Linked DNA regions of Coturnix japonica. The protein of the gene in region 1 purifies or fractionates together with the protein of each later gene. This does not show direct contact. Links are inferred from orthologs where the notes say so. Each region holds a gene or a part of one and is shown on either strand. Other genes may lie near its edges.

Region 1 (5,891 bases):
TGGCTGTGGTCCCCAATTTGATGGCTGGGTCTCCTATTTAATGGCTTGGTCCCCTATGTATATGGCGGGGGGCCCTATTTGATGGCTCTGGGTCCCCTATTTGATGGCTGGGGTTCCCTAATTTAATGGCTGGGGCCCCTATTTTGATGCTGGGTCCCCAATGTTGTGACTGGGTCCCCTATTGATGGCCGGGGTCCCCTTTTTAATGGCTGGGGTCCCCTATTTGATGGCTGTGGTCCCCAATTTGATGGCTGGGGTCTCCTATTTAATGGCTGTGGTCCCCTATTTAATGGCGGGGGGGCCCTATTTGATGGCTGGGGTCTATTTGGGCTGGGGCTATTGATGCTCCCTATTTGATGGCTGGGGTCCCCTATTTGATGGCTGGGGTCCCCTATTTGATGGCTGGCCGGCTGTGGGGAGCTCACTGTTTCAGGGTGCTAATCTGAATTCAGATGGGGGTCACTTAACCCAACGTCATCCTCATCTCTCTCATAGGTTATTTCTTCTTTTTTTTGTGTGTGTTTGTTGGTTTTTGGGTTGTTTTGTTGGTTTTTTTTTTAGCCAAACTGCACCTTAATTTGAGTTGAAAACTGCTCTTTTGACCTGTTTCTTTGTGTTCCTCTTTATGTTGACGTTGAAGGAGTGATGTGTCCAGCTGTGGAGTTCAGGCTCCGTCCCGGCAGGACACGGCGGGTGCTGTTATAGACTGTCTGCTTTTATTTCTGAAGGGCATTTCACTTCCATTCCAAGGCTGATGCACAGACTGAGCCTTCCCCACACCCCATTGAGCCCTCTGCACCCTGGGCTCCCCTTGCTGCCCATTCCCCGAGCTGAGCTTCCTCAGCAGCATCCCTCAGCATTCCAAGCCACTCTCATCTCCTCCTCCTTCCCTTTCCCATCCTGGTGACCAATGTTTCTCTTCACCTCCATCTCTTGCAGCTTATTGTTGGGGGAAATCCCTTGCAACCAACCCAGTGAGGTTCCTCCTGGCTTTTTTTCCCCCCTTTCTCCCAATGCCTCTTTCTTCCCTTAGCAAAGGCAGGGAGGGATTCGCTTCTTCCCCCACTGCCTGTTACAGAGCTGACATGGGACCCCCACCCAGAGAGCTGCAACCAGGGATGGGGGCTGCTCCCATGGCTCTGTATGTGGCTGCGGTGCTGCTTGTCCCTCAATGGGGGGGATGATATGAGGATGGATGGGGCAGCTTTGCCCACCTTCCTGTGCCCTCTGCTCTGTCTCTTATGGGGCTGTGTCCCCCCAGCCCTCATAGGCTGTGGGCAGGGGGGGTCTTTCTAACCCCAAGCTGGGGGCTGCAGCTCCATCTAAGCCATGTATTGGGAGGGGGGGGGAGGCAATGTCAGGCTGGGAGGGAGAGAGAGAGAGAAAGAGAGAGAGGTTTATTTTGTATATGACTGATTTTTAACGAATGCAATATGATTAATCCTTGCAGACGAGCAATAAATCATTAAAAGTCTAATGAAAAAAAAAACAAAAAACCAAAAAAAAACGAGTAGGAGCATAAAACGACCAACATGGCAGGTCGGTGGGTGAGTGCTTACAGCCTATGGGGGCACATAGGGGGGTGGGGGTCCTCCAAGCCCCCCCCCCAGCCCCTCCAAGGCCTGTAGTTGGGGTTGGATCCTCATTCACTGTAATGGGGGCTTTGGGCCCATATGGGTTATGTGGGCCCCATAGATCTGACCTGATTAGTTATAACCCATATGGGTTATATGGCCCCCTGTGGGTTATGTGGGCCCATGTGGGTTATATGGGCCCCTGTGTGTTATGTGGGCCCCTGTGGGTTATGTGGACCCATATGGATTATATGGCCCCTATGGGTTATGTGGGCTCATATGAGTTATATGGGCCCCTATGGATTATGTGGGCCCATGTGGGTTATGGGTTATATGGGCCCCTATGGGTTATGTGGGCCCCTATGGATTATATGGCCCCCTATGGGTTATGTGGGCCCATGTGGGTTATATGGCCCCCTGTGGGTTATGTGGGCCCCTATGGGTTATATGGGCCCCTGTGGGTTATATGGGCCCCTCTGGTGGGATCTGCTCCCCCTATTTGGGCTCTGAGCTGGTTCCGGGGTCACATCAGGTCATTCCGGACCCCCCTTTGGTCCCCATCCCCCCCCCACTTCCTGCCACTTCCAACATGGCGGCCCCCAGCCGTCGCGTCACGTGATGGCCGGAAGTGCCTCTCCCAACATGGCGCGCGCCACACCTATCATGGCGGCGATGGGGCGGAGCTTCTCCTCCGGTCGAGGCGCCGCACCGGACGTGGCCACCGGGGGCGGGCGGCGCTGGGCGGTGCCGCGGCCTGAGCGTCTGAACGGCGGGACCGGCGGGAGGTGTCATGGCGGAGGCAGGAGAACGGCCGGAGCTCGGCGCCACTCCCAACATGGCGGCGGCGGCTCTACCCCGGCTCTCCCTGCCGCTCCCGCGAGAAGGAGGGGTGAGTCCTCGCGAGATCTCGCTGTGTGGAGCCATGGAGCCGGGCGGCGTTGTGGCGGGGCCGCTCCCGGCCAACAACAAGGCCCGAAGCGGGGCGGGACCGGCGGGGAAAGGCCGAGAGTTGGGCCGACCCCCGAGGAAGGACTCCGAGGTCAGAACCGGAACCGACAGAACCGGGCCCGGCTCCGCGGGGCGGGAGAAGGCCGGACGGGAGGGGCGGGGCCTAAGCCGGGCCGGTTCCGGGAGGGGCGGGGCCTGGTCCGGCCGGTTCCGGTGCCGTGGGCCCGGCCTGGTTCCGTCCCGATCCCACTGCGGCCCTGTATGGAGTGAACAGCTCCAGGGGGCGGAACCTGCGGCCCAATGCGGCAGCACGGCCGGGGGGTGGATTGGAAACGTTGGTGCTGCTGTGGGGCTGCAGGAATGAGGGGGGTGTTGGGGTTCGTTTGGGTCCGTTTGGGTCCGTTTGGGTCCGTTTGGGTCCGTTTGGGTCCGTTTGGGTCCGTTTGTGTCACTGAGCCCCTCATTGAGCCCCGTTCTTTGCCCCCAGGGCTACTCGGAGTCCCCAGACCTGGAGTTTGAATACGCAGACACCGATAAATGGGCGGCGGAGCTGTCCGGTAAGGGGCCCGTCCTCACAGCTCAATGAATCAGCATTGGGTTCTATGCCCTGATCGTGACCGAAGCGGTTCTGTCCCCTCCAGCGTCGCTTTGTTGCCTTTAAACACCTCATTCACATTAGAAGGGCTGTGTCACTTCATAGCAGCTGTTCCTTTGCCATTAACATTGAGCAGCCATTAACCCGTGGGTCGCAGGGTGACGGTTCTCTGTGCTCTTTGGCAGAGCTGTACAGTTACACCGAAGGCCCCGAGTTCCTGCTCAACCGCAAATGCTTCGAGGAGGATTTCAGGATCCACGGTGAGAGCCCCCCCTTGGAGCTGGGGGCACCAATAGGGCTGGGTGTATCAGGTTGTGAAGTCAAGCAGCCCTTCAGCCCCATCCCATATACATCAATGCTTTGGCTTTGCAGTGCGGGACAAGAAATGGACGGAGCTGGACAAGAAGCAGCATCGCACCCACGCCATGAGGCTGCTGGATGGGCTGGAGGTCACAGCCAGGGAGAAGAGGCTGAAGGTGGCCAGAGCAATCCTGTATGTTGCACAAGGTACGTGCTGGCGTTGAGCTGGAGGCCTTTGCTTTGTATTTCATCTCATACAAGTGGAGCTGAAGCAGTTGTCAGAGGAAGGAGAGTGGTCTAAACTGCCCCTGCAAGAGGGCAGCTCTGTCCTTTGCTTTTCACCTCCTGCTTTAGCATTAAAGATGTGACGTTCTGTCCATCTGCAAAGCACATTGGCTGCACAGAAGGGCTTTGCATCCACTCAGGGTGTCGTTACAGGCACGTTTGGGGAGTGCAGCTCCGAGGCTGATGTCCAGGCCTGGATGAGGTACAACATCTTCCTGCTGCTGGAAGTGGGGACCTTCAACGCGCTGGTGGAGCTGCTGAACATGGAGATCGAGTGAGTGGTGGGAGCAGCTGCTCCAGGAGCCGCTATGGGGCTCTGCTATGGGCTGAGATGCTCCAGGAGCCGCTATGGGGCTCTGCTATGGGCTGAGATGTTTCCCAAAAGGTGGCAAAAAAAAAAAAAAAAGCCGCTTGGGGCTTCTGCTATGGGCTGAAGATCTCCAGGAGCTGCTATGGGGCTCTGCTATGGGCTGAGATGCCTCCAGGAGCTGCTGTGGGGCTCTGCTATGGGCTGAGATGCTCCAGGAGCCGCTATGGGGCTCTGCTATGGGCTGAGATGCTTCAGGAGCCGCTATGGGGCTCTGCTATGGGCTGAGATGCTCCAGGAGCCGCTATGGGGCTCTGCTATGGGCTGAGATGCTCCAGGAGCTGCTATGGGGCTCTGCTATGTGCTGAGATTCCTCCAGCTGGTGGCAGCTGTGTTGTTCCCTGCCCTGTTTCTGTTCTATTCCTGTTCTGATTCCTACTCGAATGGCTGGCATTGCTGCGTGTGGATGTGTAGACACACAGGATGCACGCAGCAGATCTCTAACAGCCGTGCTGTCTGGCAACAGCTGCGTTCCCCCTCTGCTTGATGGGGGACTTGTTGCATTAGTGCTCACTCCAGGCTTTGATTCTGACACTTGGATTGCTTATAGTAGAGTTAAATGCCTCAGGAGCAGCACTGAAGCTGTTCTCTCCCTGCAGTAACAGTGCAGCGTGCAGCAGTGCAGTGAGGAAACCTGCCATCTCCCTGGCTGACAGCACAGACCTGAGGTATGGAGCTCTGCACGAGGAGCTGCTGTGTTGGCTTTATACCCCAGTATAAGAGCCCCAGCTCCCTGTTATGGAGAGTGAATGGGTGGAGGTGGGCTGTGGTTATGGCAGACCAAACCTTCCCTAAGAGCATTGCAATGTAGCTCATCCCAGCCTCTGGTTTTCAGCCCAATCTTGTGTTCTGGGCAGGGTGCTGCTGAACATCATGTATCTGATCGTGGAGACGGTCCGGCAGGAGGCTGAGGGGGATAAGGCTGAATGGAAGAGCATGAGACAGACCTTCCGAGCAGAGCTGGGTGAGGAGCCCACGCTTGTACAGGAGGGTTGGATGGAGGTTCCAAGGGCTGATGGGGAAGTGGGGGAGGTGGGTGTTGATTCTGGGCCTCAGGGTTGGTCTCTGCTATTGCTGAACCTTGGAGCAGGTGAGGGCAGGGAGCAGAGGAGCTGCATGGGGTGAGATGGGGAGCTCAGAGGTGGGGGTGGGAGGCACAGCAGGGTGAGCAGAGCCTGACTGTGCTGCTGGTTGGTTCCAGGAGCCCCTCTGTACAACAACGAGCCTTTCTCTGTCATGCTCTTTGGGATGGTGACCAAGTTCTGCAGTGGCCACGCTCCACATTTCCCTATGAAGAAGGTGCTGCTTTTGCTCTGGAAGACTGTGCTGGTAAGGGAGAGGACGTGGGCTGGGCCAGTGTGTGTGTCTTACAGCTCTACCCTTATTAGAGGAAATTCTGCCCACTCACAGCCGCCTGCCATTGCTCCGTTCTCTTATTCCTGGCACCTTCGTGGTGTCGTTCTGTCCCTTTCAGTGCACCCTGGGGGGCTTTGAGGAGCTCCAGAGCATGAAGGCAGAGAAGAGGGAGGTCCTGGGCCTCCCCCCACTCCCAGAGGACAGCATTAAAGTCATCCGCAACATGAGAGCTGCCTCCCCACCTGCATCAGCCTCCGACCTCATTGAGCAGCAGCAGAAGCGAGGCCGGAGGGAGCACAAGGTGAGGGCAGAGCTGGGGACAGGGGTGTGAACCAGGGGACAGATGGGCTCAGGATGTGACCTTGGAGCAGTCTGTACTCTGTATATTCACCTGCATGGGGCAGAACCCACCTTCCTCCCCTGTTCCCTCCAGGCCCTGATTAAACAGGATAACCTCGATGCCTTC
Region 2 (5,975 bases), on another chromosome or scaffold:
CATACCTGATGGTGCTTCTGTGGACACTAACTGAGGACATGCTGGCCAGAGCTTGAAGTTTCACAGTATTTCTCCTCTGTTTGTACGAAGTGAACACACACACACACACTAAATGATAAACTTGAATTTGTTTCAAAGCATCATTGACAATCTAATGTTTTCTATGTGTGCTTTTATTTGGGATGGCTTTTCCAGAAAGCAGCTCTCTCCCCCTTGGCTCACAGCCACCCCTGTGCTCCAGTAGGCAGTCCTGTCCCCTTTCTCCATGGCGAGCATGGGGCCAGGATTCAGTGTGACTCCTCTGCCTTTGGAGGTGAGCTGCTTCCCCAGCAGCTCTCTGCATGCTTATCTGTGCCTAAAAAGGACACCTGTGACCACTCCATCCCCAGGTAGGTGAGCACTGTGGTGCTGCTCCAGCTCCTCCACAACCAAAAATGGAGTCTGTGGCAAGAATTGGCTTTTTACCAGAAGGGAGGGAACTACTGAAAGGGAGCTGGAATTCCAACAGGCACCTCTGTCCTGTGGTGGGAGAGCCCATGCATGCAGCCCTGCTGGCAGAGGAGTCAGTGCTGGTTCTGGAGCTTCATGGGCAGACCTTTCCCATCCCAAGCCCCCTACACAAGCTGCTTTTTGGACAAAACAAAATCTGAATATATTTTATATCTATTTGAAAACGAAGTCTGATATTTACCCCTGTTACCAACTGAATTTGCGTATTGTTGTTTGCCACAATATTTGTTCTGTCTTAAAATAAATTTGCTTACTTGTGTAGTCTGAACTGTCTGCTCTAATTCTTGTTGCCTGATGCACGGTGCAGTTGTTTCAGGGCTCAGTCACTCAGAGCTGGCTTTACAGTGTCTCCCACGTGGGAGCTTCCTGTGAGAGAGACATAGAAATGTGTCCGTCTGTGAGGGGCAATAATTTTAACCAAGACCCAGAATATAAATCTGCCTCTCGCATCTTCTCCCCAGGGCTTTTCAACCTTATGTCCTCTTTCACCAGTGTTTCATAATTACACCCTTCAAAATGGTAAGTGCACAAGAGAAGAATCGCTGCATTTCAGTATACTTAACAGTTAAGAGATAAGACTGTTATTAATGTTTCCTGGAGGCTAAGTAATTTCTGATGTTGGTGTTTTGCATTTTAGAAAGAAATGATTTATTGTGATGAACTCACTGAAAACAGCAGCCAAAAGCTGTGGACATCTAATGATGTTCACAGAAGGAGACCTAGCAAAATCTTTTCTTCCTCCTCAGAAAGGCAGACAACACCGTCTTGGTTTTTCAGTACCATGCATTAACAAGGCATTTGCATTGGTTACTAGAGATGGTACAAAGGAAGGCAGCACTCACAAGTGGTTGCAAGCCTTTTTTCCCATGCATCTTCAGGTACAGAATCCAGTCTGTGAGTAGATGAAATTAAAGGAACAACAGTGCCCATTTCTGCCTCCCTGTAGCCTCAAATGGGAGGCAGCAAGTTCTGCTCAGTTCCTGGGAGTGCCAAGCATCCTCACACCACCCTGAATAATGTATATTTGTTTCCTCAGATGATGTATTGTGCCCCATCAAGTGCAACCACCCAATACTGCCTCTCCCACAAGTGTGCTGGGACTCAGCAGAGCCGCTGCAGAAGAGGTGTGCAAGACTGTGTCAGGTGCTAGGGGTACCAGGGAGAGCCCATGCAGCATGGGGGGTGAATGTGAGGGCTGTGCTGTGCACGGGTGATATGCAGGGAGGAGATATAGGAGCGCTGGAGTGAATACCACACCAGCAGGACCCTGTGGAGGGTTGGGTGACTTCTCTTAGGCACATACCTCTTTCCAGCACGTCAGCATCAACCTCAGCACTGCGTGGAGCCATCCGGTCCAGGTGGAAAACATCTTCCAGGTGCATAACACAGTGGGGCTGAAGTTACACCGCCCTGGTGTCCTCACCAAGGACCAGGTGGAAGCATTACAAATGCTTTATGGATCTGGTTGCTTAAGTCTTAATTTACGAGACTGAGAAGTAGAATTCCCTCAGGGCTCCCTTTTGGTGAGATAGTGGGAGAGTCCCAGTTGGTTTCAGCGGTCCAGGGGCTCTCTTGGCTGAGTCTTCCAAGCTGTTCACAGCTCACAAAAGGCATCATTTATGAGTACAGAATGGCAGAGGACTTTTAGGAGCAACTAAACAAACTGTATTTGTGTAAATACATGACTCCCTTTGACTCTGCTGAACGCACTTTCAGTTGCACAGCTCGCTATAGGCGCACAGCGCTCTAACCCCTTTGACTCCCAGCTCCACCTGAGGGACGGACCGTTACGCCCGTCGCGAGGCGCCGCGCACGCGCAGTGCCGGAGCGGAAGCGCGGGCGGGGGCGGCGGCAGACGGAAGTGCGCAGGGCCGGGGGCCGCCATTCCGGGAGCGCAGCAGGCCGCGCGCCCCCGCCGTTGCGCCGGCAGCCTCAGGCGGGACCGGGCCTCGCGGGCGCCCAGTGCGGGGGGGGCCCGGCCCCGGCCGGCAGCGCCGCCATGGAGGAGAAGAGCTTCGCCAAGGAGCTGGACCAGTGGATCGAGCAGCTGAACGAGTGCCGGCAGCTGAGCGAGAGCCAGGTCCGCAGCCTCTGCGAGAAGGTGAGTGAGGCGGGGAGAGGCGGCCCGGCGCTGGGGCCGGCCGTGCCGAAGATGGCCGTGCGAGGCCTGGAGCTGCGGCCGGCTGGAGGGGGCTCGGCTGTGCCTCGGGGCCGGCCGTCGTGGCCCGCCCGGCGCTGCCCGCATGGCGGATCACTGCGAGAAGCGCCGGCTGTAGAACGGCGCCGAGCCGGAGCGCGGCCGTCGGCCCGCAGCCGTGGGGAAAGCCCTGACGTGTGATGAGGGGCAGCGGGTGGGCTGTGCTGCCGCCTTAAAGACAGGCCTACGTTGTGGGGAGGGAGGCCGGGATAGAGCAGGAAGTGGTTGGAGAGGTAATATAGTTTGCCGCAAAGAGCCTTTTCTCCTGTCAGGAGACAGGTTTGGGTGGCTTTTGTCTGAGAAGTTAAATGCCTGTGTGCGAGCATAACCATCCATACTGCAGTGTATAGCTGAGCTAGGATCTGCTTGAATGTACGAGCTGTGACAAGGCCAAGGAGCTGAGGTGGGCTCAGCACAGCAGCTCAGATTGTGTTCTCTATGTACCTCAGTGACAGCAGGGACTATTGCCGTGCACTGGATCAGCTGGTAACTGCTCTGCCTCATGTGCCTGACAGCTAGTTCATTGGTCCCTGTACTGTTTGTATTGCTGATAGCGAGCTAGGTTTTGTGTTGTCATTACCTGTGTCTCACTGAGCTCTTGCAGAAGCAGGTGATCTGTTGTGGTGCCTGTTCCTGGCATTCTGGCCAGTGGCAGCTTTCAGAAGATGGAACTATTTCTTTTTTCTTTTCCCCCCAAGTCTTCAGTAGGCCACCGCAGCAATAGGTTTGAACAGTAGAGAGAGCCTGCACCACCGCCTTATAGCATGCTAGGAGTGCCCTTCAAAAGGTAGGAGCTGAGTGTCACAGGCAGATATTTGTTAGAAGTCAAAGCCGTGGCTGCCTGACATACACTTTTACTAGTAGTCCTGGATTGTCTGGCTGCACACTGGCCTGTTTCTCCCATTCTGTTTTTTTACCCACGCTGTAACTGCCCATTTGCTTTATGGCTTTTTCTGCACTCACCAAGCTGGGACAATTGTGAGAAGGGCTGGTGCTGCAGCAGGGAGCAATTGAAGAGCCTTGAGATGTAGATGTCTTCAAAAGAGTGAGCTTCTTGTAGCTGTGCTGTCGTTTGAAGTCCAGCTGATGAGCCTGAAAGAATTGATTTGCAGTTCAGAACAGCAAGAGTTCTGAACTGCTGCACCAACCACCAAGCTGCTAAATAATAATAATAATAATAATAATAATAATAATAATAATAATAATAATAATAATAGTAATAATTCCCTTCTTAATTAACAGCAAAGCCAAAGAAGGAGCTGTGGCTGCTGTGCTTTCAGAAGCTGGATGGTATGATCAGTAGGTTGTATTGCAGTCAGTGGCTGCAAAGCAGGGAGAGGTGCCAAGTGGAGAGCACAGCTGCAGGTGAAAGGAATGTCAGTCCTCCAAAATGACGGGTAGGATGTGAACCATGCGAACCTGTGAGGCACAGCATGTTTGCTCGGAAATAAATGTAAGCTATTGGAGCATCTGGTTTTCAGGTAGCGTTGGTAACTGATCTGCAGCGCTGTCAGAAAGCTTGGGTTGCTTCCCCAAGATAATACTTGGAGAAACCCTTAACAACCTTTCTGGTCATATGCAATAGTAACTCTTGCTTTAGTTTTTAAATTAGTAATAGTATTAGGTGGTTAAAATGGGGGGGCGGGGGGGAAATAAAATAAAAAAAATACTCTGAAAGTTTTCTATGAAAGCATGGGATACAAAACCAAATTGAGTCCCAGACTTACCTGTGTGTATCGTTCTTGGTTTCACTTGCTGGCCTCACAGACAGTGAGGAGGGAAGGACTGGAGATAGTTGGCTCACACAGGGGATAGCAGCTGTTCTTCTCTCAGAAAGCTTTTGATAATTGCACCTGTAGAATCACTGTAAATTGATCTGCCTGGTTATGACATAACTGGCAGCTAATCCATCTTAGAGTCTTTGTAGAATTAATCAAGATGTCATCTGGTGATAACATTAAAACACTTCCTGTTCTGCTGCTCTTAAAATGAAAACTAAAGTCATGCTGATATTTAGTATGTAATAGAAAAACAAACAATTATTGTCACTACTGGAGCTTCCAGGCACCAGAAATGTTTCCAGCCCATCAGGGAAATGAACATTAGGCTTCTTGCATCTCTTACTGTTTAACTTTATTATTGTAGATCATCTGAGTAGATGAAGGTTGTTAAAAGCCTTTTTTTTTTTTCCCCCATTAAATAGGCAGTGAGAAAATCTTTAGAGCTCAGTCTTGGATGCTGTCTGCACTTAATCAGAAGTGCAGTGGCACGTTTTGTATCCGTGGTTGTGCTGCCTTTGAATTTGGGTACTGACAGAAGGGTAGCACTTAATGCATGGAACTCCTTTTGATCCCGCGTGGGTACTGCTGCCCCTCATTACCTGCACTTTGAGCAGCTACAGCCAGGCTGAAAGACTGAGGAGGTGGATTCATTTTAACAGGAACTGCTCTCAAGGTTGGACGTGAAAAGCTTTAAATGCTGCTTGATTTGAGATTCAAGTCAAGTGAGCAGATTAATTCTGCTGATGAGGGAGTTGAGGCTTTAGTTATAATAAAGACAGTTTTTCATTAAGATAATAAGATACGGCATAAAGAAAATCCAGTTAAAGGCTGTTTCTTAAACACAGGCAAATGACTATCTATAGCCATCTATTTCTTTGTAGCTTCCTTATTTCCCCCTTCCCCCCCATCTTCGGTCTTCATATGTCTAAGAGGGGGGTAGAGACTTGTTGTTGTGAGCAGCTGGAGAGCTTTGTGTTGTGAAGTGGTGGGAGGAAAAGGATTCTAACCACTAATGAACACTTGCATTTCTTGTTATTGAAAAGTAATTGTGCACTGATTCCTCAAGCTGAGCAGAAGGAGCCAGTTGGTGCTTTAGGGAGTACTGCTGTTGCTAGCATGTACGTATGGCAGTTCTGCCCTCTGAGATTATTTTGCCCAGGAATAATTTTAATAGAATGAGCTCGTAGGCTCCTCTGCAGTAATTGGTGAAGTTAGTATGAGCAACAAAGCCAAGTTACATCCTGGATGCCATTCAAACCATGACACATTCTGAGAGTGTTATGCTGGATCACAGTCAGCAGTATTTTATCTCTTCAGTGATAAAGTTTATCTTAGCATATACTGGCCTGGATGGCTCTAGGAGTGTACATCCATATTGGCATCAGTGCTGCTGTTGGGGCTGTGGGCTGCCCCCTGCTATTGAAGGGCAGGGCAGCTCCAGCTCTCCAGCTCCCCTCTCATTTGGGGAGAATCCAGCTGGCTCTTGT
Region 3 (5,382 bases), on another chromosome or scaffold:
GTCACAACATTTTATGATGACAGTAAGAGAAGAACACACTGGGAGTAGAGTAGAGAAGATGCAAGCTGAGAGGTCAGAATACAAACCAACCACCTATTTCTTGTCTTTTTTCCATCTTCTTCACAGCAAGTGAGAAAAATGAAAGTGTTTACAGCCAGAGAGGAATTTCTTAGTCCGTAAATAAGAACCAAAGCTTGATTTTTATTGTTATTTAGAGGCAAACTCTTCATTTTTTATAGTTAATTAAGCAAATAAGCTTTCTTACAGGCCCTAGCATCGCAGCATTGCGCAAAAGGTAGCCCATTTGCTAAAGACAAACTGAGACCAAGTTAGAAGAGGCACGTTCAGAACCAGTTAGAATGAAATTAATTGTTAGAATTAAAGGAATCAGACAGATGTTAAATGATTAGTTGATCGTTCAGCTCGTCAGTATCAACAGAATGGCGTATTAAATGAAGGGTTTGCTTCAGGTAAAGAAATACCTGTGAGCATTTCACCATGCACTATTTTATACAGAAATGGCACAAACAGGTGAGAGGGACAAACATACATCGACTGAACAGTAGTGCTTGTACCTTTCGCTACCACAATGGGCCGTAACACCAATACAGGAAAGCCAGGATTAGGCCGATGAATACGGCTGGGACGGGTTGTAATATGGAAGGCTAAAGAAGGGAAGGGATATTAAAAATCACTTTGTGCTATAAATCAATCAGGTAAAGATGATTTAGAGAGGGGAAAATAAGTCAGTGAGTTTTGTTTTAATTGAAATGTATTAAAGACATCTAATAATACAGCATTATCTAATCTGGTATACAAAGTTAGTACACCATTCTACTCAAATGAACAGGAACGTTCAAAAATAAAGGGAAGTGAGGAGAAAATACTCTAAGAAACTTCATCTCAACTTGGAATTTAGTACTTAAAAACAGTACAAATTATTTGCTTGTATTTTATATCTATTTGCTTTTAGATTTTCTGTGCAAGTAATTGGAAATCCCAACTGGATTTCGTAAGGCAGAAAGACTCATACCAGAGATTGAATTTTTCAGCTGCTTCTTCATTCCGCCTTTCCTATTTTCCATCATCAGCCTCCAAGAAAAACAATCTCTTTCCTCCATTAATGAATCAATAACAACTATGTCCACAGGCAAACCCAGTAGTTCAGACATTTGTGAGGTTATAACACAATGTACAATCAGCACTAAGTTACTATAAAGCAGAGAAGTAGATTTCTGTTAGAGATACCACAAAGATCAGCATCTCTGGTAGAGCATCAGACTTGTGAGCAAATGCAGTTCTGAAGATTGATCCAATGATGCAGCTGGGCCAAACTACCAGCAAGCAAGACTGAAGGGGTTCGTTTAGCTCATGGCCTCATTACAAGAATCTGCACATTTTCACAGTTATTTTCAATTAACTGGAAACTACTTTGCTTCACAATCTGGAGAGAAAGCCTCTATCCTCAAAACAATACACTAGAAGCAAAAATGGACCTAATTCCTTTTTAAGCTGTCCCGGGAAGACATCTGCTTTCTCTGTATCTTAGCCTGTATGTTTCGTGCACATACACACAGAGGTTAAGTTCAAATCATGCTAAATATTTTCCTAAGAACTCCTCTGTGCTGAACTCACCTTGATTTTGTTCAGCCAAATAAATTCATGTTTGGAGACTTCCTAAAACATTGGGATCCATAAATAAAGTCTCATTCTGTTTTGAATTTGAGGAAGTCAATCACAGAACTTCCAATGGGGTTAAGAACACAGAAATCTCAGAATTACCTTAGAAGGTATTCTAATATTTGCCATTCAACTCTTGCCATTACAATAATTCAGATTTGTTGTATTCAATGTAAATATTAGACTGACAAATCACATGCAACTATTAATTTCCATGCAGTACTTTATATATATATATATATACGTATTTTGTCATTGTTGCCACAAATCAGTGCCATCTTCCCAAAGAAAGCACAAGGGCAGAAATAATCACAGCAGTGTTCAATAAAGCACCAAAAGCTTCAGTCAACTCCGTGACAGCAGCTCATGTTCTCAAACTGTTCACATAAACAAATCCGTCATGTAAAGCGCATCAGGAAATAATCAGTGACTACAAACATGCAAGCACAAGCAATACACCACACTGCTAAGCAGTTCACAGCACAAAACTGCAGTTCTTTTTAGTTTGGTTGGTTTTTTTGGGTTTTTTGAGAGTAATAAGCTTTGTCTTTCTGAAAGGGAAAGCATAAGAAAAACTTAATATTTAAATTATGTTACAAAAGGAACAGAGAAGCCTTCTCTCTTCTAGTATTTATCAGTTCACCAGATAAGCTGATGGAGTTTCTTTCAAATGATTAAATCTTACCCCTCATGAGCTTATTAAAATACATTTTTTACATCTCCCTATTGCAGAGGAATGCACATAATTAGATGCTTCATCAAAACCATGCGTTCAGTATTAGAATACGTAGATATGCAAACTCAGAGACAGACTGGCCACAAAAATGAATAAATCCCACAGAGGGAAGCTGCCTTCTTGAGGACACTGTCCTCACAAATAAAGTAACAGATAAGGTTTCCAGCAAATAGGGGATAACAGAACTTTAAAAATTTGACCTTGGAAGTCAGCCCAGTATTCATGATGCTTCAAATATTCCACAAAACAGACATATTTTACATTACTGATTGTGAGTAATGCTTGCTTGAATAGCAAGCTCGTCCTTCAAGTCCTTATATGGCTGGATGCTCTTCATCACAGCCTAACCTCCAGGCTTCAACTCTTGTACCTCTTCTTTAGATATGTTTTGGCAACTGCTGTCGTTCCTTATTTCATTTTGACAATCACCTCAAATTCTTCCTAAAAATTCCCTTACCTTGCAAGCTTTCATCTGCTTCTCCAATTCCCTTCACAGTGTTTTTCTTTCCTCAACTTTCTCCCCTTTTTCATGAATCAACTTAACAATGAGATTAATGTTTTAACAGAGCAGAAAAATCTCACATCTGCAGTTACTTTAGTATCTCTTCTATCAGAAAGTGTTTTGGTTTTTTTTTTTTTGTACTTCTGCCTATTTCAGTAATTCAACATTATTTAGGCATTACAGAAAATTCTAAAGCAGAAATAGGTTCCAAGAGAATATTAACATCCTATTCATGAAAATACAGCCAACTGTAGAATGGCTTTGAGTTCTTCACATCTTTGTTAACTCTACTGTGTCAGAGGTTTGTTTTCAGTAAGTGTGCTATGGTGTAAGTATGTATTCTCCTCCCCTAGGACACAGATATCTTCAGAGAATGGTACTTGTAAACCTTTAATTCTGTGCTGTCTGTGGGGGGGTTCATAGCAGCAGAACAGGAAGACAATAAACCAGCCATCCCAGTAGTAAAAAGGCTGTAATTACTTTATAATATCTGTTGCACTCTTAACTTTTGAAGGATTTCAGAAGTTTCAGTATTAAAAAAAATAAACCAAAAATGCTGTCTCTAGCTGTAAACTCAATACTAACAACACAGCCTCTCCAACTATAACAGAAAATAATTACTTCCATGAGTGAATAGAAAGGATGGTTCAGTTGCGTGTGTAAAACATGAGCTGACCAGGAATAATCAATGTTAAGAAGCGTAAGCAAGACTGAGGAGGGAACACATGTCGTAATAATCACTAATGAACTAAAAGCACCTTGAAGAAAGTCACTTAACTCATTTGGATCCAGGTTTCTCAGATTTCACCCATGTGTCAGTCCCTGAAACTGGGAGGTTTTGCCTAGTACTTAATGGGTAGTTAAGTTTGATTTTTTTTTTCCTAGACAATAGTAAGGCTGTTTTAAAAACCACCATACAACTGTAAATCTAATTTGCATATATATTTGTACCCATGAAATGACCTACACATTCAATAGGTAGTACCAGAAAGGAATTTTGCATGCAATATGGTACACAGCTCCTTTTTAAGTCCAGCCTTTTCTGATAAATACTTAGATGTTCCCTTAATCAAGAACACTGTCAGTGTCATAACCAGACTTCCCCAAATATTTTGTACAGACTTACGTTGTTTCCTTTTTCTTGTAGCAGCTTCAAGTTTTCTTTACACTGTTTAAGCTCTTCTGCGATTGACTGCTTTTCTTGTTCAGCCATCTCATACTTCGCCTTCAGTTCTGAGAGCACTGTCTGTGTTCTTTCATACTAAATGCAAAGAGAAAGAAGGCTACAGACCTCTGAACACCCAAAAAACATGCTCACATTTGCTCAGTGCACAGTTTCCTTTCTGTCTACACTGCCTAGTATAACTTGTCTTGGATTAATACTCTCTCTTTATATTAGCAAGGTAGAAAAGCCTTACCCTATGCTCAATTTTATCTACTGAAAACAAGTTTACTTGTATTTGTCATTAACAGGGATTAGAAGGCACAAAACCAATGTCCTTCAGTACTGGCATTTACCATAACTTAAAAGGATAAGCATCTTTACAAACTCATCTGACTACAAACACAAAGATTAGCAAGACTGCTCCTTTCAAATTCCAAAAATGGTAAGGAATGCGACAGGGATGACTTCATGACAAAACAAAGACCAAGATTGCGAAACACAAACTAATAACAGTGACTGGCGGAAACTTCACTCAAGCTGCCCCTAAAAATAAACAAGTAATTGATAGAGACAACAGCCTTCTTCCAGACATGATTTTCAGAACTCAGGCTCCATAAACTAGCTTTTCCTTATGCACTTGTTAATCATCTGTAAAAGCCTGATGGTCCATTCAGAAGAAAGGACAAACAAACCTTGAAAGAATGTGCAGGTCTGCTGTGAAATCGCATGTAAAACTAAATAGAAACATCGTATTGACACAAAAAACTTCCATTTTGATTCATAATGCCTAACAAGACTTAATACAGTGATGATCATTGGGTTCACCTGACTGAACAGCTTGTAAGTACTTTCACTAAGGTAAGGCATGAAAGTAAACTTCAGAAAGTTCCCAGCATGTATACACAAGCTGTTTTATTTTACATCTTCCTTCCAGATTTGACTCCCAATTCATAAATTGTTGGCTAACACAAATGTACTTGCAATTAAAGGAAGAAAAAGATTAATTACTGAAAATGTTGTAGTTTTTACTTGTTTTATGTTGAAATGAAAGGAAAGTCACAGGGCACTGGATTCACTCAAAACAGAAACATTCCATGTTACCTCTTTCTGAACATCCTTTGCTTGACTCTCAGCTTCACTGAGCTGGCTTTTTAGACTAGCTGCGTCCTGTTGATGTTTTTCTCTCAAAGATCCCATCTGATCTTCAAGTTCTTTTCGAGACATTTCAAGAACACTTATATTGCTGGTTAGAGCTAAACTCTGCTTCTGAGAGCTGAAAAACAAAATTCAGTTGGTTCC
Region 4 (5,904 bases), about 2.2 Mb from region 1:
CCACATAAATCAAATAATAACTGGGTCATCAGGGACAGAGGCCACGGGGACCTTCACGTCACGGCTTCCCAGAGTTCTCCCTGACTGATTACTAAGTATTTGCTTTCTTGGTAGAATTTAAAATTCTCCCATTTTGATTGCTTAACATTGATATGCCCAGAAGTTAATGGAAGATGTTCACTGCTTTGTGGAGAAACTACTGCAATGGTATAAATTTGGTGTATCTACATGAAATAACGATTGAATTTGCAGACACTTGATTAGGTTGTTATATTGAAACACCAACACTTGGCACGTTCTGCCTGGTCTGGTGAGAACTGCGAGCTCCTGTAAGGTCTCATCCACATAGGAAGTCTTCCTTTCATAGTAGGTCTATGAATTTGATGAGTGCTGAAACTGCAGGTTCAGAGGAACCTTCCCTACGTAGGTGCCTGTCGAGAGAACTCATCTTCAAGATATGGAGAGATCTGCATTCATCTGAACTGGTGATTCTAGATCTTTGTAACTCGCTTGGTGTTTGAATAGTTAAAGGAAATCGTATCTACTCCAGCTGGGTCTTCTCTGCATAACTGACCCATTCGGCTTGATCTGGTATTGGATTGTTTACGTAACTTCAGTAATTAACCACTCTCAACCTCATTAATGAAACATAAACCACCTCTTCTATTCATTTATTAAGCCCTTGTCAAACAAAACTTAAACAAAGGGCAAAATCTCAGCAAAGGAACAGTCCAAAAGCTACTGGGATCTGCCTACAAGTTGCTACGGCCACTTTGTTGTTGTTTTGCAGTACAAATTAAACAGAAGCAATGGCTTTGTCTATTGCTCTTGGCTAACTGCTCACAGAAACATCTGAGCTCTGTCACATGAGGGCAGCGATGCCTCCACAACTATTTTGGTCATTTCAGTGCAAAATACCGATGTTCCAGTTCATTACTGTAAATCATTAAATGATGAAAGCAAAGAGTCAAATACTAAACAACCGGGATACTTTGGAAAACTAATGTTTTGGAGAGCCTCAATATATTTCTATCTAGCATATATTTTTTTCCTGCTAGAACAAATCCACGTTCTGTTTGACAAAATACAGTCATGTGGTTAAGAGTTATTAAAAGCATTAAAGCACTAACCTCTTGTAACCCCATTTTTCACTCTATACACATACATAAGTGTTTAATCGAATCGAAGTTAAACACTAAGATGCTTGAGAGGCCAAATTTATACATTCTCTTCAGTTTATACAGCGCTGATGTGATAAGCCAAAGGAATTATAAGACACCACTGCCCTGAGATCGCTCATCCGCTGCTTTGTTTAAGCTCTGTTGCTACATAAGAGAAGTCCTGGTGAGAAGCACGAGCAGCATTTAGATACAGGAGTGCTGTGCTACTGGGATCGGGTCGGTCCTGGCGCCACATGAACTCATTCTGCTGTCCTCTGGGAGTGGAACTAATGATTCTGTGTCAAGAGATCTGCTGGGCAGGGAGCGAGCCACGGCCCTGAGTGGGGGCATGGGACACATTAGGACTTCATCTCCTTTTCATTCTGTGTCTTTATTTCAGACACTCAGACAATCCTGACATGGAAGCCTGATAAAGCAGTGCCTCTCCCTTGTCTCCACGTGGCATGAAAGGCCGGAATGATATCTCTGAAGGAAGGGAAGAGTGAGCATTAAATCATGCCCAAAGGGAAGGAGAAGTGTAAGAAACAGAATAGGTTCAGACATACAACCCAAGTGCAGCTTGTGCTGAGGTGTAGTGTGTGCTCCTGCTGCTTCAGTCTGACTTCCCAGCTGATGTGAATTGAATTGCTGGTGCTGCATTGATCTCACTGAGTCCCCCGGGCTGTACGATGGGATTTAAGTGCAACAGGTTGTAAATTTGGTACCACGGAACTTCCTTAACTAGAATAGGGTGAAAGGCACGAACAGCTGAATTGTTGAGTGTGTCCCAAAGGAGATGTAAGCCCGCAGGGTGGCTGCAGGCAGCAGAACTGCTGACACTGCTAAAACACTGCTTAGAAAGTATCAAAGGAAAACGTGACACGACGAGAAGCGAAGCAGCAGAATCACCACGGGTGGCTACGGGCGGTTACAGCGAGCAAATAACAAAGAACGAAGTCAGCACTGCACAGCTTGTTATTTTAACTTGAGGAGAGGATGTTTACTGTCGGAGGGACAAACAGGGATACAGATAAGATGTCAGCCCAGGATTTAAAGGAGTTTGAAATCAAGATAACCAGGACCCCCCGTGGGTCACGGCCACCTGCGCTGTGCAAACAGAGCAGCTCCCATTGCCGGCTCTCAGATCCACGCCGTGTGACAGCGGGGAGCTTTGGATCCACGCGTTTAACACCATCCCCGCACCCAGCGGCCTCCAGCAGGCGGCGGTGCGGGCTCAGCTCCGGGCTCAGCTCACGGCTGCGCAGCTGCGGGGCGAGGAGCCGGCCCGGAAAAGGCAGCGGCTGTTGTGCGGGTGTTGTTGTGCCGAGCGGGTTCGGTCCGTGCGCTGTGCGGGACATGGGGCCGCCGCGGGACTGAGCAGCGCGGCCCGACCTGCGCCCACCATGAGCTGCACCATCGAGAAGATCCTGACGGACGCCAAGACCCTGTTGGAGCGGCTGAAGGAGCACGACACCGCCGCCGAGTCGCTCATCGATCAGTCCGCCGTCCTGCACCAACGCGTGGCCGCTATGCGGGAGGCGGGTGCGGGGCCGGCCGACAAGGGCAGCGCGGCGGCGGCGGCGCCCACGGCCGCGTCCCGGCGGGGTCGGAGCGTAACGGAGGATGGTGCTGACGGCTCCCGGCTGCGGCCGCACACGCTGCTGTGCCAGGAGAACACGCAGATCCGCGACCTGCGGCAGGAGAACCGCGGTGAGTCGGACGGGATGGGGCTGACGGCTCTCGGTGCACCGGGGGGGTCGCGTGGTGCCGTGTAACGCTGCGATCCCTGTCCCGTAGCGCTGTGGATCTCTCTGGAGGAGCACCAGGACGCCTTAGAGCTCATCATGAGCAAATACAGGAAGCAGATGTTGCAGCTGTTGCAAGGGAGAAAAGGTGAAGATGCGGAACCAGTGCTGAAAGTTCATCAGGCCAACTCTGTGGTAAGGTGGGATGGGGATGAGGAACTTGCTCTCTGGTTTGCTTTCATGCAACGTTTGTCTCCTTTCACGGGCCCATTCTGCTCCAGGAGCCTTCTTTCAAGCTCTGGTCCCTTTGGTATTTGATCTTTTCCCTGCATTCTTCTCACAGGTTGTAAATTATCACAGAGCATCCTGAACAGCACGAGCCTTTGGTTGTCCAGGTGAAGGCTTGCTGTGTGCTCTGGGTGATACATTCCTGGGGTTAAGCTTTAATAGCTTTGTTTTCACTTAAGAGGAGCACAGCAGAGGTGGTTATCATTACTGTTGAGTAACTGTAACAAAAGGAAAAGAGCCTCCAAAATCCCTATAAGCTGCCGTGTGTTGAGGTATGTGATGCTGTCTTAAAGCAGGGAGGATTACAAGTGGTTGGGAGGGAAAGATTAAGATTCAAAATGGGAAAGTAGTCCAGAATTAATAACATGAAAGTAATGGATTCATAAGGAATAAATTATTACTGCTTTTGCCTGAATGTATTAACGGTGTTTGTTTTTTTTCCCCATGTCTTTCAGGAAATTGAAGGACAAATAGACAGGATATGTGAGATGGGTGAAGTGATGAGAAAAGCTGTACACGTGGATGATGATCAGTTCTTCAAGGTACAGGAGAAACTAGCTCAGCTGGAGGTAAGAACCCACGACATCGCTAAGGACAGATCAAGCTTTTGGGGACTATAGATGGTTGTGTGTGTCAGGTGTTAATAACAATAAAAAACAGGGATGGTGGGTGAGGTTGGGAGGCAAGGAACATTTTCTGTTTAAGTTCTTTGTATTTCTGTCATCTTAACGATAAAGCCCAAAGTAAAAGGTGTCCTTTAAAGTGATGTGCTTCATCCCTTGTAAACATTAGTTTGAGTTCTAGATTTCTATTCGGCTGTGAAGGAATGGGGCTACTTAATTAACAGTCTGTAATCTTTGTTAATTAACTCATCTCTATCTCAGTTGAAATACTGATTATTATTTTTCTTTTTGCAGCTCGAAAACAAAGAGCTTCGGGAACTATTGTCCATCAGCAAGGAATCCTTTGAGCTCGGGAGGGACGATGTGCGTGACAGCGAAGCTTAGATCACAACACACCCAAACCTTGACTTCAGAGACTGTTCTGAAGCCACCCAACAAAGGACGATCTGTAACTTGTTCTTCAGGTGTTTCACATGTTCCATCTATCCCAATGTGTGCCCTGTGTTACTCTGCAATCACACACTCCTGATGGCAAAGGCTTGTATTGCTGCTCTGTATTATCAACCAAGTGAACCAAGTGCTTTTGGTGCCGGCTCTTTTGTGGCAGTTTATCTCACGAGTGTTACTTCCATAAGCTTTCCTCGGCAATTCCAGCTGTCACTTAGAACTGCCTGATATGGGGAACACAATACAGCTCCTGGATGTTGTATTTGCTAGAAGGAAGAAGAATTGAAGTCTATGTTATAACAAGTTGATACCTTGCTCTGCCTGCACAGTGGAGCTTTGGCTTTGAGGACCCAACCCTCAGTATTTGCTCACATTAATATTATATTATATTATAATAATATATATTATATATAATATTATATATATAATATATATTATATAATATATATATATATATATTATATTGATATTGTGATGCTCTCAGTGGCATTTTCATGCTGTTTTCAATGTAATTCAATGACACCCAATTGTCACTGTTACTTTTTGATGCTGTTTTTACTTAGTTTTGATAGATAAAGCAACTGTGTGTGTTATGAGTCTATTTGGATTATGCAGATAAAGGTGTTTAGTTGATATATGGGACTCCTGTTGAGGAGCATTGTACAGACTTCTTTCCTAGACTATTTTAAGATGGAATAAAGCAATTTACAGCCATTTTTGTGCTGTATTCTGTATTGTATCAATGCTGTCCCGTCGCCCCGTCCCACGTGGATCCCGCGCTATGGCGGTGCCGTTGGCTTTTGCGCATGCGCACCGTGCTGCCGCCGGTGGCCGTGAGGGCGCAGGCGCGGCCCCGCCCCGCGATCTCGCGAGAGGCCGGGATTAGTTCCTACGTGCGGTGCCGTGCTGCTCATGGCGGCGCTGGAGCGGGGGCGCTGAGCTGTTGGGGTGAGTCCGCCCGGCCGGGGGCGCCCGGCGCTGCGGGGTTCGGTGCCCGCGGGGCTTAAGGGACACGGAGCCCGAGGGGAGCGGCCTCAGAGCCGGGGGGAGCCCTCGATCTGTCGGCCCGGCCGCGGCCCGTCGCGGCGCTGTCGGTGGGGCGAAGCCGCGCGGGGCCTCCCCCCGGCAGCGCTGCGTGTGGGGATGTGGGGCTGGGGCCGGGCCGGGCCGCGGCCTGTGGCTGCCGGGTTGAAGCTCCGCCGGGCTCGGGCCGGCCCATGGCGCGGCCCATGGCGCACTACGTTTCCCGGCGTCCCGCGGGCAGCAGCCGCCCCGCCGTGTGGGCCGGGTCCCGGCGGGCAGCGGGGCGGGGCCTGACGGGAGCGGCGGGTCGGGGGCCTCGGCCCGGCCGGGGGCGGTGCCGGGTCGGACTGCGGGGCCCGACGGGTCCCGACAGGCCGCGGGGGCTGCGGGGACGGGCCGGCGGAGCGCGGCTCCCGGCGTGCTGTGCGCCAGGCCCCGCCCGCTGCAGAGCCGGGCTCCGTCCCTTTGTGTGCGGGGGAGCGGCCGCCATCGCCCCCCTTTGTGTGCGGGCGGCCTGGCCCCTCCTCCACAACCTCCTCCCTCCTCCCCTCCTGCCTCCTTCCCTTCGCTGCCCGCCCTGGAGGCGGCCGGGCCCGGCTCTGCCCCGCTCCGTCACGC
Region 5 (5,382 bases), on another chromosome or scaffold:
TAATTCCTTCCCAGTCCTTCTCCAGGATACATCCTAGCCTGCTCATTCTTTTACCATTGATCACAGCTTCCTTTCAAGCCATATTTATTCTTTTAAGAAACTCTTGAAAAACAACTTTCAGTGAAGGAAAAATGCTCAATGCACCCACTCTCACTGGAAATTGAGAAGAATTTACAAGCTTATTTACAGGAAGCTCTTTTTCTCCTCCCCACTCCTTTCCCTCACTTCCATGCTGCAAACAAACACTTAATGAGTAAACAGCTAAACCACAGCTTTGGCAACTGAAACAGCAGAGAAGGATGGGAAGGGCTGATGTTCATTTTTAATGGTTGGTCAGACTGTGATTCCAAGCAGAGGAATTTTTTTTTTACGATAGTTTAATTGTTTCTGAGAGTTCAAGGGCAAGGTGATGATCTGCTAGATGTGTGGACTTCTAATCAAGTTTGTCATTTAAAGATGGTATTTAACTTTAATCTGTGCTGTTCCTCACTGTACATAGCAGATTTCAGTCCTACTGTTCTTTTTCTAGTAATATTTAATAAATGTTGTGAATTTTGCCCAAAGGTCAGGCCAGGCATGGAGAGGCAGGTCTGTTAGTGGATTTGGAATAAGAAACAGGTTGAAAGACTGGACAAATTAAAAGCGTCTGTAAATACATTAAAGTATTTGGCTTAACTCTACAGCAGTGAATGCCAAATCACTTAGGCTCTTCATCTACATTTTTCAAGAGAAATAAGCAGAGGCTCTATAAGTGCTTCTTGCTGATATGCTGGCCAGTGAGAAAGTAAAACATCACCCAAGCCAACAAGGGCCAAGTAAGATATCACTTATTTGCAAACAGGGGAGATTATTCAAAATCTAACTTCCCTGCAAAGGCTGTTAGGCCTGTGTTAATGTCTCCTATCATCACTTTCCTGGCAGTGGAACAAGATGAGCAAAGACAACTACTGCACTTGTTGTTTTTTTCTCCTCCATGAATATTTCAGTGAGATGCAGTAATTATTTATAATAGGGAAGTACCCTATTGGTATTAATTAGTGGAGGTCAGGCAGGACACGAGGGTGTTTCTAGAGTTCAACAAGGACAAGGACCTCTAGAGACCAGATCCCAGATAAGCTGAAATGGGAAGTGGATTTGAGCAGCGGTACCGCAAAAAGGACTCAGAGTTTTCCAACTTATGTCATAGTCAGGATGACAGCTTTGCCTGCTCTTTCTAACAGAGAAATGCCCACTCACGGGCGAGTACTGTCTGTACCAGACTTGCGACCAGCTTTCAAACAGGTCCAATATGCTGCTGTGCTCAGATGAAGTTGGCCTTTCTGCACATCCAGAAGGACGCATACATCAGCTCCTGCAGTACAGGAAGTTCTTGCCAGAGCAAACACGTGGCTGTCTAACAGCCATCTGGGAGACATGGAAGCTGTCAAAGGCACAGTCATTTGGGCATGTTTTCTTCTGTAAAACTCCTAAAAGTGAACCGTGTGGCAAACCAGATTGATTTAAATGAACAGAACTGCAGTGGCTGCTCATGCTGTAGAGTTAGCGCTTCTTTGTTTAGGTCTGTGTTTGCATTTTTATTGCATGACACGGCAGTTTAAATGCACATGTAATACTTTATTTTTAGTAATGAAGAAAGCTTATTACTAAAAGTACTGTTTTATCTATATGGTGTAGGAACTACAAGTGCACGTGGACCAAATTACAGAAATGGCAGCGGTAATGAGGAAAGCCATTGAAATTGATGACAAGCATGGCTGTAAAGAGCAGGAACGTATCATTCAGCTTGAAGTAAGTATGAGATCTTTTTTTGAGATTTGTGCCAGTGATGGCACAAATAGGGATCTGTCTTCCTCTACCCTCCCAGTGAGAAATGCTCAGAACTGACTGTGAGACAAGAAGTTGCGATTACACACAGATCAGAGTCTGGCTGTCAGAACAGGGAAACTCTCTGCCACTTATTTGGGGAGTTGGGGGAGCAGGTTACCGCTACCCAAATACGTTCACACAAGCTTTAAATTGTGCTCCACGTCTCTAAACAAAATATCTTGTTCTGACCCTACAGTTCTACCTTTCTTTTACAGTCTTTCAGTACTTTAGGGTTTAGGAATAGCCAGCTTCCCGTGCATCTGCTGCCAGTACTCAAAGCCAGCATTAAGATAGCTGCGTGCTATCTTCATGGAGCTGGACTGTTTCAGGTAATTAGTTTACTTAGGAGAATTAGTTTGATGTTGTATCAAGGAGCTGAGGGGGCTGTAGCTGACATGAGATTGGTCTCTGCTGCGGTGCCATCTTTCCAGAACTCGGGAGCAAATCATGTTCTGTATTCTTGCAGTAGATTTGCTGAAATTGCCACAAATCCTGAGATGCTGATTTAGACTTTTGCTTTAGTCACCTGCTTGGTTTTCCAGTCTCCCTCGGTATTAAATCATTTCCTTTGACAAAGGTTTTCCCAGTGCGCTACCAATTTGGCTGCTTTTTTATAAGACGTTGTGGAACCAAGTCACACGTTATTATCGAGTGAGGAACTGGGTGCAATGTTTAATTATTTCCAATGCTGCTACCAACCCTAACAACAGTTTTTAAAGTCAGTAAACTCTTCAGTAAAGGGATCCTTTCTGTTTGTAACTCTGTGGTAATCCGGCACGTAAAACAAAAGCCGCTTTGTGCACTTACCTTCTGGTACAGTTCGTTGTGTGTAAAATGCCTTTGGTTCTGTTGTTCCCAGTGCTTCAGTTATTTCTAGAACTCAGCCCTTAGCAAGGGTGTTAACCTTATCACAGTTACTGAGTTACTGTCTCTTTCTTGAGTTACTGGATCATTCACTGGTACTGCTAGTTTGTTGCATGTCTTTTGTAAGTGTGTTTGTAGTAAAGGGAAGGAGAGATCCTTCATGTAGTTATCTGACTTTCTGGAGTTCTATTAAATGCCTTTTTTTATCCCTCGGTTATAGCAAGAAAACAAAGGCTTGAGAGAAATTCTTCAGATAACCAGAGAATCATTCCTGAACCTTAAGAAAGAAGATGCATCAGAGAGTACATCCCTTTCAGGGTTAGTAACAAGCAGTGATTTGAGCCTGAGGAAGAGCTGAAGACTGTGGAAGCCAACCAGCTTTAATTGCACACTTTACAAACGGAATATCAGGGGTCACTTGTCAAGCACTTGTTACTGAATAGGGCACCAGCAGGCTTATGCATCTTGAACTTTGGTTTAGTGGCTTTTATACCGTGTAAAATAAACTCCAGTCGGTACTCTCTGAATACCGTAGTGACAGATTAATTGCCATAGGTCTAACTTCAGTAGGAAATGGGTTAGTGCACTTATGGAATTGGGAATTATTTTTATATGAAGTCATTTTACAAATAAAATACATAATTTCACTTAATTTATATAATTTATTGCTCGGACAAAACTTCAGTGCACCTATTATACAATAAATGCAAGATTTAAAGTAGTCTGATATCTGGCTAAAAGATAGCGACTGACTACGCTTTGTGCATGCTCCATAGTTCATTTGTCCTTTTAGTTACTAAGGTTTGTGAAATTCAGCATTTAGCAACGAGCCTCTTTAATGGAAAGAGCCAGCAGAAAGCCGACGGGCTCCTGTTAGCCGCAGGCTGCCCTGTTGCAATGTAAGGCCAGTTGCTCAAACATAAGCAATACTTTTGCAGTTGTTTTTACCTTATGAGAGAAAATGAAGCTCAGTTCTCTGTGGGTGGCAGGCTGCCGTAGTCTCATCTGTTTCTTTGGGGATTGGCTGCCCAAAGCTAGAAACAGCAATTTGAAAGCACTCAGACCGTACTGAGGGAAAGATAATTGGGAGAAAGAGGTGAGAAATTCTATGGCAAAGTTAGCAGACTGTGCACCTGGAACTATTATTTTCTTTCTTTAAGTACTATTTAGTCAAGGAGTTTTGTGTATTTTCACTGGGAGCTCTCAATACATCACACTGACAAGACTGCTCACTTTTATTAGTGAAAAAGCTGCAGAGGTGAAAATGAATTAGCGCTTCTAGAACAAGAAGTAGCTTGCACGGTTTGCCTGTACACCAGAAGTGCTTCGTAAGATGTGTTTGCCATGAAAGAGGCGCCGCAATGATTGACAGCTGGCTTTTGTCAGACCGCTTCTGCTCATTGTTCAGAGCGCTAAGGCTGCTGCTAAGCGAGTTACCACATTTTGTTCAGCGTGTTACTATAGTCTTTACTTGGAACGCACACTTGAAGTACAGTAAAAGCTTTCAGTCACAGAAGGCTGCAGATGTACAACCGGTATCGGGGCTGTTTACTAACTTACTTACCTCGCACAATGAGTTGAAGTACTCTGCAATCAGTTACCATTTAAACAAGTTTCATTTTCAGTTGCAACAATGCAGGCGGGATGGAGCATTAAGCGCTATCAAATGCGGCTGTTTTAAAAACAATATTAAGTAAAACCTCCATAGACTCGAAGGTACATGCAACAAAAGGTCTACAATGGAACTTAAGATTCCCAGTGGATGGGCCGATTTACAGGGAGCTTAATGTGATCTCAAGCCCAAATGACACCTGCTGTGATCTAAACGTTACCCATGCTTACATAACAGCTTTTTGCATTTCTGCTGTAGCTTGCAAGCCGGTGACTTAGCAGCAGCGACATCTATTGTACCGCAGTGTGTTTTGGCACTGCCAGCTGGGAAGAAATTCTGGCTTCAGGTTTTTCTCCAAGTGTCTTTTCAGCTGTTGGCTGGTATCAGAGACATTCGCATCCGTTTGATACTGAATGCAGCTCCACGGCTGACCTGCACTGTCTCAAATACAGTCTGCAGAGGGTGTAGCAGAGAAGGGTTGTTAGACTGTGGCAGTTCTTTAAGGTTGCTCTATTATGAAATAATGCTTGATTAGTGTTTATTTTTGTAAATTAAGATATGTGACTTAATTTATCTACTCTTAGTCTTCACGTTTGATACGTCTCCCCTTCTGTTCCCCTGACCCGATCACTTTAGGACTTTAAAGAGCCTTCACGTTGTGTGGAGTGACTATTTTTCATTGCATACCTGTTATTTTTGTAATGCGGATAGCTTGAAAAGAATTTATGGCTAGAATTGTGTACTGTACAGTAAACTTATTTTATCAATAAAGTTGACTGAAAATAGGGATGTCTGTGTGATTAAAGCAAGGCCCTGGATCCCAAATGAGCCCTGTTTATAACATCTGAGATTTTGCATGTGCTTCAGTCCTAGAAAAGCTGTAGGAGCAATGAGGACAAACGCCATGAAGTAATCGCAGCACTGTTACAGTGCAGTGAGGACTGCAGAAATGCACCAAAGCGGTGACAGCGGGTGGGATCTCTAGGGCAGAGAGAGGCAGATCACCATAATGCAGGAGGCAATTTGCAATCAACGCACCT

The links.
Region 2: the proteins of STRIP1 (region 1) and PPP2CB purify together in Homo sapiens (affinity purification with mass spectrometry; 6 studies listed by BioGRID and IntAct, counting the BioPlex papers as one, with this or other methods). This does not show direct contact. The link is inferred for Coturnix japonica from reciprocal best matches to the Homo sapiens genes STRIP1 and PPP2CB.
Region 3: the proteins of STRIP1 (region 1) and SLMAP purify together in Homo sapiens (affinity purification with mass spectrometry; 4 studies listed by BioGRID and IntAct, with this or other methods). This does not show direct contact. The link is inferred for Coturnix japonica from reciprocal best matches to the Homo sapiens genes STRIP1 and SLMAP.
Region 4: the proteins of STRIP1 (region 1) and SIKE1 purify together in Homo sapiens (affinity purification with mass spectrometry; 3 studies listed by BioGRID and IntAct, with this or other methods). This does not show direct contact. The link is inferred for Coturnix japonica from reciprocal best matches to the Homo sapiens genes STRIP1 and SIKE1.
Region 5: the proteins of STRIP1 (region 1) and FGFR1OP2 purify together in Homo sapiens (affinity purification with mass spectrometry; 3 studies listed by BioGRID and IntAct, with this or other methods). This does not show direct contact. The link is inferred for Coturnix japonica from reciprocal best matches to the Homo sapiens genes STRIP1 and FGFR1OP2.

The regions. Positions count from the first base shown.
Region 1 is NC_029541.1:1,697,032-1,702,922, forward strand, and holds the start of STRIP1 (striatin-interacting protein 1), read left to right. Parts: upstream 1-2,469; 5' UTR 2,470-2,496; coding exon 2,497-2,613; intron 2,614-3,009; coding exon 3,010-3,079; intron 3,080-3,302; coding exon 3,303-3,377; intron 3,378-3,489; coding exon 3,490-3,624; intron 3,625-3,855; coding exon 3,856-3,976; intron 3,977-4,668; coding exon 4,669-4,737; intron 4,738-4,926; coding exon 4,927-5,033; intron 5,034-5,270; coding exon 5,271-5,398; intron 5,399-5,543; coding exon 5,544-5,726; intron 5,727-5,858; coding exon 5,859-5,891. UniProt on the Homo sapiens protein: Plays a role in the regulation of cell morphology and cytoskeletal organization. Required in the cortical actin filament dynamics and cell shape. Part of the striatin-interacting phosphatase and kinase (STRIPAK) complexes.
Region 2 is NC_029519.1:30,568,163-30,574,137, reverse strand, and holds the start of PPP2CB (serine/threonine-protein phosphatase 2A catalytic subunit beta isoform), read left to right. Parts: upstream 1-2,371; 5' UTR 2,372-2,509; coding exon 2,510-2,611; exon of another isoform or gene 2,612-3,799; intron 3,800-4,434; exon of another isoform or gene 4,435-5,975.
Region 3 is NC_029527.1:6,505,564-6,510,945, reverse strand, and holds part of SLMAP (sarcolemmal membrane-associated protein), read right to left. Parts: intron 5,357-5,382; coding exon 5,185-5,356; intron 4,180-5,184; coding exon 4,045-4,179; intron 666-4,044; coding exon of another isoform or gene 582-665; exon of another isoform or gene 576-581; intron 1-575. UniProt on the Homo sapiens protein: Associates with the striatin-interacting phosphatase and kinase (STRIPAK) core complex, forming the extended (SIKE1:SLMAP)STRIPAK complex.
Region 4 is NC_029541.1:3,921,896-3,927,799, reverse strand, and holds SIKE1 (suppressor of IKBKE 1), read left to right. Parts: upstream 1-2,432; 5' UTR 2,433-2,563; coding exon 2,564-2,870; intron 2,871-2,957; coding exon 2,958-3,100; intron 3,101-3,648; coding exon 3,649-3,762; intron 3,763-4,110; coding exon 4,111-4,200; 3' UTR 4,201-4,977; downstream 4,978-5,904.
Region 5 is NC_029516.1:62,493,505-62,498,886, forward strand, and holds the end of FGFR1OP2 (FGFR1 oncogene partner 2), read left to right. Parts: intron 1-1,674; coding exon 1,675-1,788; intron 1,789-2,081; coding exon 2,082-2,195; intron 2,196-2,950; coding exon 2,951-3,088; 3' UTR 3,089-5,129; downstream 5,130-5,382. UniProt on the Homo sapiens protein: May be involved in wound healing pathway.